Arabidopsis thaliana: one gene and its partners. The protein of the gene in region 3 interacts with the protein of the main gene of each other region in a pairwise test. Each region holds a gene or a part of one and is shown on either strand. Other genes may lie near its edges. The genes, in order: AT1G01100, AT5G47700 and AT2G40010.

The links.
Region 1: the proteins of AT2G40010 (region 3) and AT1G01100 interact in a two-hybrid assay, tested with the Arabidopsis thaliana proteins (one large-scale study listed by BioGRID).
Region 2: the proteins of AT2G40010 (region 3) and AT5G47700 interact in a two-hybrid assay, tested with the Arabidopsis thaliana proteins (one large-scale study listed by BioGRID).

The regions. Positions count from the first base shown.
Region 1 is NC_003070.9:49,314-52,991, forward strand, and holds AT1G01100 (60S acidic ribosomal protein family), read right to left. Parts: upstream 1,898-3,678; 5' UTR 1,813-1,897; exon of another isoform or gene 1,810-1,812; intron 1,796-1,809; exon of another isoform or gene 1,751-1,795; intron 1,651-1,750; 5' UTR 1,642-1,650; coding exon 1,570-1,641; intron 1,319-1,569; coding exon 1,106-1,318; intron 1,025-1,105; coding exon 971-1,024; 3' UTR 596-970; downstream 1-595. Other genes in the region: IQD18 (IQ-domain 18), read left to right, coding at 2,926-3,033, 3,121-3,417, 3,625-3,678. UniProt on the Arabidopsis thaliana protein: Plays an important role in the elongation step of protein synthesis.
Region 2 is NC_003076.8:19,327,037-19,330,685, forward strand, and holds AT5G47700 (60S acidic ribosomal protein family), read right to left. Parts: upstream 1,951-3,649; 5' UTR 1,834-1,950; intron 1,692-1,833; 5' UTR 1,689-1,691; coding exon 1,617-1,688; intron 1,344-1,616; coding exon 1,128-1,343; intron 1,037-1,127; coding exon 983-1,036; 3' UTR 530-982; downstream 1-529. Other genes in the region: AT5G47710 (Calcium-dependent lipid-binding (CaLB domain) family protein), read left to right, coding at 3,434-3,544.
Region 3 is NC_003071.7:16,707,774-16,712,577, forward strand, and holds AT2G40010 (Ribosomal protein L10 family protein), read right to left. Parts: upstream 3,000-4,804; 5' UTR 2,676-2,999; coding exon 2,418-2,675; intron 2,309-2,417; coding exon 2,240-2,308; intron 1,791-2,239; exon of another isoform or gene 1,514-1,790; coding exon 1,022-1,513; exon of another isoform or gene 940-1,021; coding exon 805-939; 3' UTR 606-804; downstream 1-605. Other genes in the region: AT2G40020 (Nucleolar histone methyltransferase-related protein), read left to right, coding at 3,990-4,127, 4,222-4,419, 4,592-4,736. UniProt on the Arabidopsis thaliana protein: Ribosomal protein P0 is the functional equivalent of E.coli protein L10.

The DNA of each region.
Region 1 (3,678 bases), on a different chromosome or scaffold from region 3:
TATATATTTTTATTTGTTTGTTCGAAAAATATTTAATCAATTTTGGACCCACCCTTCTTCGTTAACACCAATGTTTTTTTCTTTCTTTTCATTTCATCTCTTAATTTCAAGATCCGATCTACAAATATAATCCTTGTTAAGTATGCTCAACATAATTTATTTTCTTCTTTAACTCGAATTGGTTAATCAATAGTGGAATCATCAAATTAACAAAATGATCTGAACAAATTCAGGTGAATAACCATAAAATTCTAACCATTTAGAAATATGGCTTTTCAATTGAGTTTTAAGAATAGATCCGTTTTCTTTAAGATTTGTATATAATCCCATAAATCTTTTGTTATCAGGTAGAGCTATAGATGCAACTACTTTTGACTCTAAAAGAAAGAAAATTGAATTTAAAACCTAATTCCTACCGTTACTACTAAATTATTATGAAACATATTTAATCCTCTAAACAACATTTTTTGGTTTTCCTATTTCTCTTACGAAAAATCCCATTACTTTTTTATCGTATTTATCCTTATCTCAATTTCATCAAATGGAATGTATGACAATAGACGTACAAATGTTATGAAGACGCTGCTGGGTAAGAAGAAGAACAAACACTAACATGTTCCGATAATAAAGGCATTGGGCCGGCCTAACATTACTGCAAAAGCCAATTTTATTAAAGACCTATATTTGATGACAATTCTAAATATTGTATGACCGGATTTAACATTTATGGTTTGACGTTTTCGAAATTAAAGACCTATATTTGATGAACGAAGACTTGGTAGAAAATAAACAAAATCAATTCTAACAAAAGCCCGAGCCGATTGGTTTGCTAGGAAACTTGAGTTATACAACATACGCATCATAAACCAACTAATAGTCCTTTAGCCAGATCAAACAAGTAATAATAACTCATACGACAAAATATAGTCTCCAATATCCAACTACAAAGAAGAAAGACAAGTGACTGCGTTTAGTCAAACAAACCGAAACCCAAATCTCCGTCACTCTCTTCTGCTGGCTCATCCTGCAATACCAAAATGAGATCAATTTTATATCACTTATTAGTTAGAAGAATGATTTCGTCTATCGTTGCTATTTCATTTACCTTCTTCTTCTCCTCAGCAGCAGGAGCAGCTGCCGCACCACCGCCAGCAGCTGGAGCAGCAGCTGCAACCGGAGCACCACCTCCACCACCAGCACCAACGTTCATGATGAGATCAGTCACGTTACGTTTCTCAGCCATCTTGGCGAATAGCATTGGCCAGTATGACTCAATACTAACACCAGCAGCTTTCACCAAGGTCGCGATTTTGTCAGCCTATCAACGACATAAACAAACACAAGTAAAGATCTTTACCCAATTCAAAACACATTTAGACAGATACATAAAATACTTGTTCAATTCCTGACCAAATAATACTATACCAAATCCTTATCACTCCATAAGAATCATTTTCACTAAGTTTCTAACTATCAAGTCAAAAGAAACGGTTCCAAAACCCTACTGACTAAAGCAAAGAGACCAATCAAGATTTAGAAATAGACAAGCAGGAGTCAAAGGAAAGATACCGTGATAGCGATACCCTCGTCCTCGAGGATCATAACAGCGTAGCTGCAAGCAAGCTCTCCAACTGTCGACATTTTTTTATCCTGAAACGATTCAAAAACAGTAACAATAGATTAATTGCTTATTCACAAAAAAACAAACTTTAAATCCGTTTTAAACCAAAATTAGAGTAAGTCGAACAACCCAGACGATGATGAAATGCCAATAACAAGTATAAACGGATCAAATGGAGAATCATAGACTACCTAAGAGTAAGATCGAAAATGCTTTTCGCAAGGCGGCGAGAGAGACAAAATTTCTAGGGTTTGGATGCGGAGACGGGAGATGCAGAGTTTATAAAGCTTTTATCCAATTATTTGATGGGCCGCATAAATATTCGCTAGGCCCATTTTTTAATTTTACATATATTTGTTTTCAGTATTGGGCCTTCAAACCTAATAGCCGTGAATAAATAAAAGATAAGAGCCCAAATTAAGAGATTTGACTTTGACCAGAAATTGTTGGTTGGTTTCTAGGGAACGACCACCGTGGTCCATCATGCATGTGACAGCACGAGCTTGGTCAAGCAATACTTGATGGATGTCCTTTTCGCACTAGTAACATAATTCTTCATTTGACATATTTATAGTCTTCAATAAACATATCATATGCGATCCAATATATTTTCATTTTTTCTTGTACATTCGTCTTGGTCCAAAAATCACGAGTTTGATTAGTTCTTTAACCCCAAACTTCACAAAATCATGTAGTTGTAGACACCAAGTTTGATTATATTTGTCAATTAATAAAAAAAATGATTTATACAATTTGTTTAGAATCTCGATAAATACTTGTTCATCCTACTACCATTCCAACCAACTTTATATAATAGTAGTAAAAATTACGCATGCGCTAAGCCAAATATTGGCATTTAGTAGAATAACAGAAAAAAAATAAATAAAAATGTAGATTATGGAGCTAAAACAACGTGCAATCTCTCTCCTTATCTAGTCTACGTATATTGTCCCGCACGGTATATAATCAATATGGACCCAAAAACGAATATATTCATGTTAATATCGATGCCAACAAAATAAATTAATAATACTATGTATTTGGTGAAAAGATAAAATTTATTAAAGAGAAAGAAACACAGTTATTGGTGTCGTGGTTGCAGTAAAAGAGGTGGTCAGACTCAGAGCAACTTCTTACAAAGCAACCAAAGGTTATCTGTACTTTCTGTTTCTCTCTCACTCCTTATTTCTGAAAAAAAAATCTACAGCTAAATACCTAAATCTCAACTTCACGGAACACCGATACATAAAGACAATAGAGTGGTAATAATTTGTTGAGACCAAAAGTAATTAAACACATTACACATGGGGAAAAAGAACGGCTCTTCTTCTTGGCTCACCGCTGTAAAGCGAGCTTTCCGATCTCCGACGAAGAAAGATCATAGTAATGACGTCGAAGAAGATGAAGAAAAGGTTTCTTATTCTTAGATCTTATTATTTGCTTACTATATTCAAAGTATGATTATTGGTTTTCATTTTTCTCTGTTTTTTTAAAAAAAGAAGAGAGAGAAGAGACGGTGGTTTAGAAAACCGGCGACTCAAGAATCTCCGGTGAAGTCTTCCGGTATCTCTCCACCAGCACCTCAGGAAGATTCACTTAACGTAAACTCAAAACCCTCTCCGGAGACAGCACCGAGTTACGCAACTACGACGCCGCCATCCAACGCCGGTAAACCCCCGTCCGCCGTAGTCCCCATCGCCACGTCAGCATCTAAGACACTCGCACCGAGGCGGATTTATTACGCAAGAGAAAATTACGCTGCTGTTGTCATCCAGACTTCTTTCAGAGGATATTTGGTGAGCAATTATTAATGACCTATATTTTTACTTTCATTTTTTTAACCAACTTGACTTCTAGACCACTTTTTAGTGACAATGATGTGTGTCTATGTCTATAAAATTAACATTGCTTATACAAGATCTACCATTTAAAAGATTGGGATTTCATTTAGATAATTTTTTTTTGGGTCTTGATATAAGTTTTGTTCTTTCTAATTTGGTAAGGCAAGAAGAGCATTAAGAGCATTAAAAGGGTTAGTGAAGCTACAAGCATTGGTG
Region 2 (3,649 bases), on a different chromosome or scaffold from region 3:
GAAGAAATTGCGGTGATTGTCCTCAAAAATTGGTGGTCTCTGGATTGCTGTGGTGTATATGTGGTAAAAATGTGAGACTTGTAGGGTTAGTGATACATACTTGTTCTAACCACCATGTTGGAAAGAATAATAGGCAGAAAGAAGCTCCTCCAGAAGCTTTTGTGGTCATGTATTGTAGCCTCTGTGTGTGTTTATTTGTAGGTTTGTTTTACGTTTTTTCTTTTTCTGTAATATTTACAACTTATATTCCTTTACCCAAAGTACTATTCTCTTGTTGAACTTAACTGCTTTGCCAAATTTTTTTTGTAAACTTCTTTTGTTTATTTTATCGCTTGTCAAATCATGAAAGCTTTTCGGTTTTTGGGTAGAAAGGTTCAGAATGATCCGATCTGGCAAAAGGAAAAGAATGTATTTCCTTTCAAGTCCAAATTTAGCTGCTTGTCTGGTAGTATCACTCTCTTATCATCATATAGGGGCTATTGATTAAGGAAATGACCCGAGAGTAAAATGATGTCAACTACTTATTCTTGCGACTTAAAAAGGATGAAACTGAATTAAAACAATACAAAATGTTGTTCGTCAACCCACACGCCTGGCCAAACGGAGCAGGTTCAAACCACTCACCTTTTACACACACATGGTTCTTCAGGGATATAATAGAAAAGGAAATAGGAAGGGCTCAACCATAGTGATTTTGTCTAACTAAGCTCGTAAAACTCCTTTCCGTTGGGAAGATTTATCATTTTATCTTCTGATTCGACGAGCCTAGACTAATATCTCGAATGAATTAAAAAAAAAAGAGGTGACAAAATCATTTCTAAGGAAAGAAGGAGCCGATGGGTTTGCTTGAAAACTTGTGTCATACAACATATGGTTCAGAAAACAACTAATTATAGTTCTTCAGCCAGACCAAAACAAGTAATAGCTCGATACGAAAAAAAAATAGTCTCAAATCGAAGAAGAAAAAACAAGTAAAATGCACTTAATCGAACAAGCCAAAACCCAAATCTCCATCACTCTCTTCTGCTGGTTCGTCCTGCAACAGTAAATTTACAAAACAATTAGATAAATATACCAGATCATGCTTCGTTAGGGAAAAGCTACGAATTCATTGTTATATAATTTACCTTCTTCTTCTCCTCGGCAGCAGGAGCAGCAGCGGCAGCACCACCGCCAGCAGCAGGAGCAGCAGCTGCAACAGGCGCACCACCTCCACCACCAGCACCAACGTTCATGATGAGATCAGTGACATTACGTTTCTCAGCCATCTTGGCGAATAGCATTGGCCAGTATGACTCAATGGTAACACCAGCAGCTTTCACCAAAGTGGCGATTTTGTCAGCCTATCAACACAAATTCAACAAACAGAAGCAAAGATCTTTAAATTAATAAGTTATAACCCAATTCAAACATATATAGACAGAAACAAAAATACACTTGTTCAATTACTGACTCTATAACTCTACTAATCCTTATCAACGAAAGATTATAACTATTCACTTAGTTTCTAACTATCAAGTCACCAGAAACAGCTCAAAATCCTTAAACTCCATGAGCAATGATACAACGAGACCAATCAAAATTAAGAAAATAGTAAAGTAGAAAAGGAAGCATACCGTGATAGCAATACCCTCATCCTCGAGGATCATAACAGCGTAGCTGCAAGCGAGCTCTCCCACTGTCGACATTCTCTGAAACCATCAAAGTAACATAACAAACCAACATTATTCACAGATCAAAACAACACTGAAAATTTAATGGGAGAATAATCGGAAGGAATATATCTGCTTGTAAAATTCGAAAGAAAGAAATGAAGAATCATCGATAGAGTACCTTAGACTACGATTGAAATGCTTTCGCAACGCGGCTCCGGCTCGAGAGATGAAGTATCGCTAGGGTTTTTGATTCAGTGATGTGACGCAGCGTTTATAAAGAAAGCTTTGTATCAAAGCTTCATTAGGGCTTTCAAAATATATATATTCATTAGGCCCATTTAAAGATCTTCTGGACATTTTCAGATTTATTGGGCTTTGAGTATGTATTGGGCATGTCTATTTGGTGTGGTCAACGAATTCTTGTATTTCAAATGTTAATGTTTATGTTTTAAATAAAATGAACACATTTTGAAAGTTAAGGGATTAAAATAACATTTTTACCGTTTAACATTATGCTGCATAAAAAGTGTGAGATGTTTATTACACAAATTCGCATGGTCCTATATTGGAGCTTTAATGGTTAGACCGAGTCAAAGCGTGTCAGAGGCCACCTCTGATTTCAAGCATATAAACAATTTTTAAAGTTTTTTTTTTTCTTTTTCGTGTGGTAAAGGGTCACACAAAAGTATTTGATTCACTAATTTATTATAACCAGGATTAGGTTTACCTAACTTTTGTAGTAATTAATTCATTACCGTTACTGCTACGTTGTTCAAGAATCAAAGGAGTATTCGATAACTTGTAGAATATGATTTGGATAATTTTACTGTTTTCATTAGTTAGATACCACTAAATTACTATTACGGTCAAAACGCATGTTAAGACTTTGTTTGGTCAAATAAAATTCTTTATAGCAACCTCGAGAGTCGAGTCGAGACCATGGAATTTGTCTTTAAGACAACATTTGTATAAAAATGTTTTTCAACTAAAAACAAAAAATTCTGATGAGAATGATAGTCCTCGCCTCCTCTACAAAGGTGTAAGTAAGTAGCTGCTGCGTTAATCTCAAAGAAGACGAATACAAGTCTTTCTGTTTTGCTCAATTCATCACAACCACAAGAAGACGATTTTTTATTCTTGTTTCCAAACTGGTAAAGTTGTTCAGTAATTTTCTGTTTCTTATTTATTAGTTTTTTTCTTCTAAAGTTTGCAAATTTCTCAGTGAAACACTGAAACTTCCTTTTCAGTTCGTACCGTTCTTCGCTACTTTACTCATTCTTTAGGGTTTCAAGGTTTTCTATTGGTCTTGTTGTAGACTCGAGTAGCTTCTGGGTTCAACCCACAAAGTTTGAGCCTTTTTTGATTTGCAGAGTCCTCTGTGTTTCTTGGTTTGTCTCTTGATCAAGGTCTGCTTGCGATTTTTGTTTCTTTCTCTACCTTACTCGCTAGATAGATGTTTCTGTAGATTGGCAGCATTTGGTCTCTCTGTGTGGTTTTATTATTTACTGATATAAGTGTGAATCTTTCCCAGAATTTCGTTTTCTATATCAAGAAGCTCTCAGAAAATTTTGGGCTTGGCGTAGTTGTTTAGATATATCCTAGCTTCCTAGAGATTGAATGTTGAATGTTGAATGACTAGTACTTCCTTCTCTTTCTCTGTGTCTTGGTTGTCATATTCAACTGATTGTCTAATAAAGACAGTTGCTTTAGCTCTGTTATTCACGAGGATTGTCTCAAGAAGTTTCTAAAGTTGGTAGCATGTGTTTGTAGAATCTGAGATGGGCGAGCCACTAGGACTGCTCCAGGTGACTGTTATTCAAGGAAAGAAACTGGTGATCCGAGATTTCAAGTCAAGTGATCCTTATGTGATTGTCAAATTAGGAAATGAGGTATGTTTGGTCAGTGTTTTTCATTGTTCTTGGCAACTAGAACCAGTGTTTGTGTTTCTACCAAGGAAACAAGTATCTCGTTGTGTTTATTTGTCTGTTGATGTG
Region 3 (4,804 bases):
TGACAATTATCAACAAAAGCATGTTTGTGCTTCTACCAGAGAACAAGGCATGCTTAACCCCTTTATTTCTTCTTTAAACAGTTTATAAATTAACGTAACACTTGATTTAAATTATAATCTGATTTTATTATGAGGATAGGCTATGCAATTTTCTAAAAGAGTTTTTAATAATTTGATGATATTTTGTGATATGTATCTAAGGAAAGTTTGTAGTATAATTCAGATAGTATATAATATGATATAAATAGATAATAAAATAATATAATTCAGAAAGTTTGTTATAGGTGAGGTTTGGCACTTCAAAATCAAACCATCATTTGGACTAAGCAAGGCTGCAACCTTTTAAAGATAGATCTACACACCAACCAACATAGTTGCTATGCGCGACGAAAGAAAGAAGATAAGTGAAGGAATGAAACATATATTCTATGAAGTAAAATCTGAAATATTATGTAAAGTAGACTGTGCTTTTGGTTATATAGCTGAAACTAACCAAACTTGTTATATGTTGGATATGTTCCTGTCATAGTTGCTGGAGTATTGTCTGTTTGAGCTATTGAAACCTTTACTGAAGAAGATGAAATATACTCATTTGCGTAGTTACTGACAGAATCAGACAATGACATTGTTAACCAATATAATTGGGTTCAGAAAATTCCTCAACGGAGAGAAATTAAAACCAGAAAGGTAGTTTTGATGAAGAAACAAAATATCCATAAACGTAACAAAGAAATTCTGAACGTGAAAGTTTTAAAGGTCCATAAAATAAATAGGAAAGGCTGGCAAAAGATAAGACGGTGTATTTTAACCGAACAGATCAAATCCCATGTCCCCATCAGACTCTTCTGCAGCTTCTTCCTCAACAGCTACTGCCACCACTGCTCCACCAGACTCTCCTGAAACCGGTGCAGCCACTGCAACTGCAAACTTGGTTGGATCCTGATCCATAAATGTACAGTTAACAAACAATTTCATGACTACTAATCCCAATATCTGAAACGCAAAATGAAAGAGGACAAACCTTTAGGAACTCCTTCACATTCTCAGCCTGAGGGAAAGAGTACTCAGTAGCTAAGGCAACAGCAAGAACGTTCTTGTAAGCATTGAGGAACATGTGAGGCGCAGCTGCTACGGTTGGGTAAGAGATTGCAAGAGAAAGCGCAGTGATCATCGAGACACCAGCTGCAAACTTCTCAACAAGGTCGTCTTCAGTGAGGTTAAGCACTTCAGGGTTAAACACTGACCCATTATCGTAGACTGACTCAACAACGAGACCATACGAAAAGGGCCTGATTCCAAGCTTGGCAAGAAGCGCAGCCTCGGATGAACCGACTTTGTCGCCTTTCTTGATGAGCTCCACAGGGGTTATGATCTCAACCGTACCTTTGTTGATTTTGGTTGGAATGTTAAGCACCTGGAAGAAGGAGGTCTGTGAAGGGTCAAGACCAGTGTTGCCTGGTTGCACGACCACATCAATTGGAGCGACTAAACCTACACGAGCAGGAGCTCCAACCTGTCAAAAAAAGGACAATGAATTTCTCATCAATTAACAGTACAAGACTAAGTTGAAAAAATCAATCAATCCAACAACATGAAAGGACGCTACAAAAATGTGAGCCTAGGAAACTAGTAGACTCTCAAGTAAGTTTCTTGAATGTGGTTGCGTTTCAAGACAGAAAATAGAGGTTTTGAGTTCCAATTTAAACCAAAATGCAAACTTTATCACCTATCCACCTTACAAGTTAATAACCTAAAGCCATAGGTTAAAGGATGATCATAAACTGACTAAATCATCAAGTAACAGTAGAAGCTAAAAATAAACCAATCAATCAAAACACAAAACAGAAACTACAAATGTCGTCTCCTCAAACCTCAATGAACCAAAATAACTAGTACTATAATCTAATCAACCCTATTTGCTTGGAAAGTGAAAGTTTGCATTTGTGTTTAAAATCGAATAATACAACACCTTGCATTCTTGCTTACTTAGAGATAATCAGATACAGCATAAAACTAACCAAACTAAGTAATAAACCAATCAATGAAAATGTAATCTCCTCAAAGCTCAACGAATCATAATAATCTCAATTAGAATGTGGCTGCATTTTAAGCAAGAACACATATGATTTCATTTCAAACTCAAAAATACAAACTTTCACTTTCCAAGCTATCAATCCATATTTGAACTCTACTAAAGCTTAACAACAACAATAACATCAATTGAGCCAAAGAAACAAACCTTGTACTTAGCAACCTCTTCACTGACTTCCTTCAAGTCACCCTTAGTGAAGATCAACCCAACATTCCCCTGTTAAATAGATTCTAACACCAAACCAAATCAAATTCTCCACAAAACCAAAAAATCAATACTTTATATCCAAATGAAAACAAACTATTCAAGACAAGAGAAATGAAACCTGAAGAAGAGGAAGGAGACTGAGGAAAGCTTGATTGCCAGTTTTATCAGCATGAATCCTCACAGATCTCTTCATCATTGTGTTCTTCCCCATCAAAACAACTGAATCACCTCGTAAACCTTTCCTTATGTTCTGAAGCTGAGTTGATCCAACATTGTCAGCTGCAACGACAAGAATCTGAGAGTACTCATTCAAAAGCTGACAAAGCTTTGAATCGTAAACGATCTTCTTCTCCGCCTTTGTTGCTTTCACCGCCATTTCCACTTAAAAATGATAAAGTGAGACTAAAGAAACTAAATTTTGGGGTAGAGAAAATGGAGGGCCTAGACGAAGCTTGGAGCTCGTACAAGGTGGACAGCGCGAATTGGCGCTGTCTCTTTAACCTCTGTAACTGTTTTTAACAGAGGAAGGAAGAGAGAAAGAAAAAAAGCTGCGTAAGAATTTGCTTAAGGTTGAAGAAGAAGTTTCTTGGGTTTATATAGTTATCGGAAGACGGAAGGATGAACGGTCAGGGTTTGTGGGATGACCTAAATCTAACGGCTTATATTATTTGTAGTAGTATCAATGGGATGGGCCAATATTGCCCAACATGTTTAACATTATGAATCTTTTTCCTATTGGGCTAAAAGCTCTTTCGACCCACATCTCAAGCCCAACTGAGATCCATTCATTGTAATTCATACTTTATTATTTTTTATAGTAACCAATAAGAAAATGGTTGACTTAACAGAGAAAATGGTTGACCCAAACAAATACTATATTATTTTTTTAATTCGATTTCATTCAAAGAAGCATTTTTGGGAGACGAGGAGGCGATCCACGGCTTATTCTTAAGAAACCTTCCACAGTCGCCGCCGATTTTATCTTCTCCGCCGTAAGTACTCTCTTTCCCTATCGAATCTGAACGAAACAGCTCAGCACATTGTCATCTCTGTAGCAAAATTAAGTTCGTGTTTTTGTGTTTTGTTGTGATTCTGTTTAGGTTTCATTTGGGTTTGAATTTTAGGGTATTTTTGGTTTATCTCTAGTGTTACTGATTCGGGATTTTTGGGAAAGAGCTCAACTTTTGTTTTGTTTCATCTTTCGTTGATTTTGTTGTTACATAGGTTTGAAAAAAGGGATCACTTGTTTGGTTGCCTTTGTTTGTTTGTTTGATTATAACCCAAAGACTTATACTTTTGGTCCTCCAATTTCTTCTGAAACTACAGGGAATTGTGAGGGATCAACAAATGGCTCCCAGAGGAAGAAGAAAGGTATAAGCTGTACTGTTTTTTTTGTTTTGTTTTTCCAAATTAAAATGCTGGCTAACAAGTAAAGATATGAGCTTTTGAATCATATAGTTTTTAGAGAGTATAGTGGAAAACTAAGATAAAAGCATAGACATAGACATTAGAGTAGAATGACTATATAGATGAAGTATTTGAATGACATGATTGTTGAAGTTAACATTTTGTTTCTCTCTACGACTTCTGTGTACTCAACGTTGAGAACACTGATGAGATAAGTTTACAAATACTTCTTTTTATGATGGGTGTTCTTGTTTTTTTCCTTCTATGATTATCTCTCTTTTCTATGCTTTTAAATTGCTACTTTTCTTTTGCTTTTTTGCAGAAGGCTGGATTGATGCGAGAGGATGCAGCACGAGATCGCATGAGAGGATTTGGGTTTCATGAGCATGTTATCAGTGAGAGTATTAAGGAACTGTTAGAGGTTTGTTCGCTAGTTTTAGGGTCTCCATTTTTCCGTTGTTGATAACATTTTCCTTGCAACTTGAAAATAACGTTTTACCCACTTTGGATTTCAGGTCTACGAAGACCAATGGTTTTTGATTGAAGATGATAGCTATGGTCCCCTCCTTGCTATCTGCCTTGAAAAGCAAGAGGAAAAAGAGAAACAATTGGCTGAAGTACAAGCCAACCAATTGCCTGAGAATCACAATGAAGAGATGGCTGAGGAAGAACAACCCAATCAATTGGCTGTGGAAATACACGAAGAAGAGAAGGTGATTTGTTTTTCTTCCTTCTCGTTCTCTTTCTGTGCAGGTTCACAAATCTGTTGCTTCCATTGTTGGGATTCGTTTTGCTGGCATTATTAGAAACCATTGACAGAATTCTTGAACTTGGTTTACCCAAATGGTATGTAACTTGCAGCATGATCCATCTTTTGTAATACAGGAGCAGGAGCAGGACATGCATATTGAGTATGGAAGAGACCAAGCTGATGAGTTATCAATCAATAGCGAAGCAGTCAATGACCCATCACCAGCAGCTATTCATTTGGGAGAAGCATCATCAGATTATGCACAAAGTTCTGTTCGAGGTAATAAAAGCTTTTTTACTCATATCCATACCAATCTCAACATAAGAAATGAAACATTCTTTTACTGC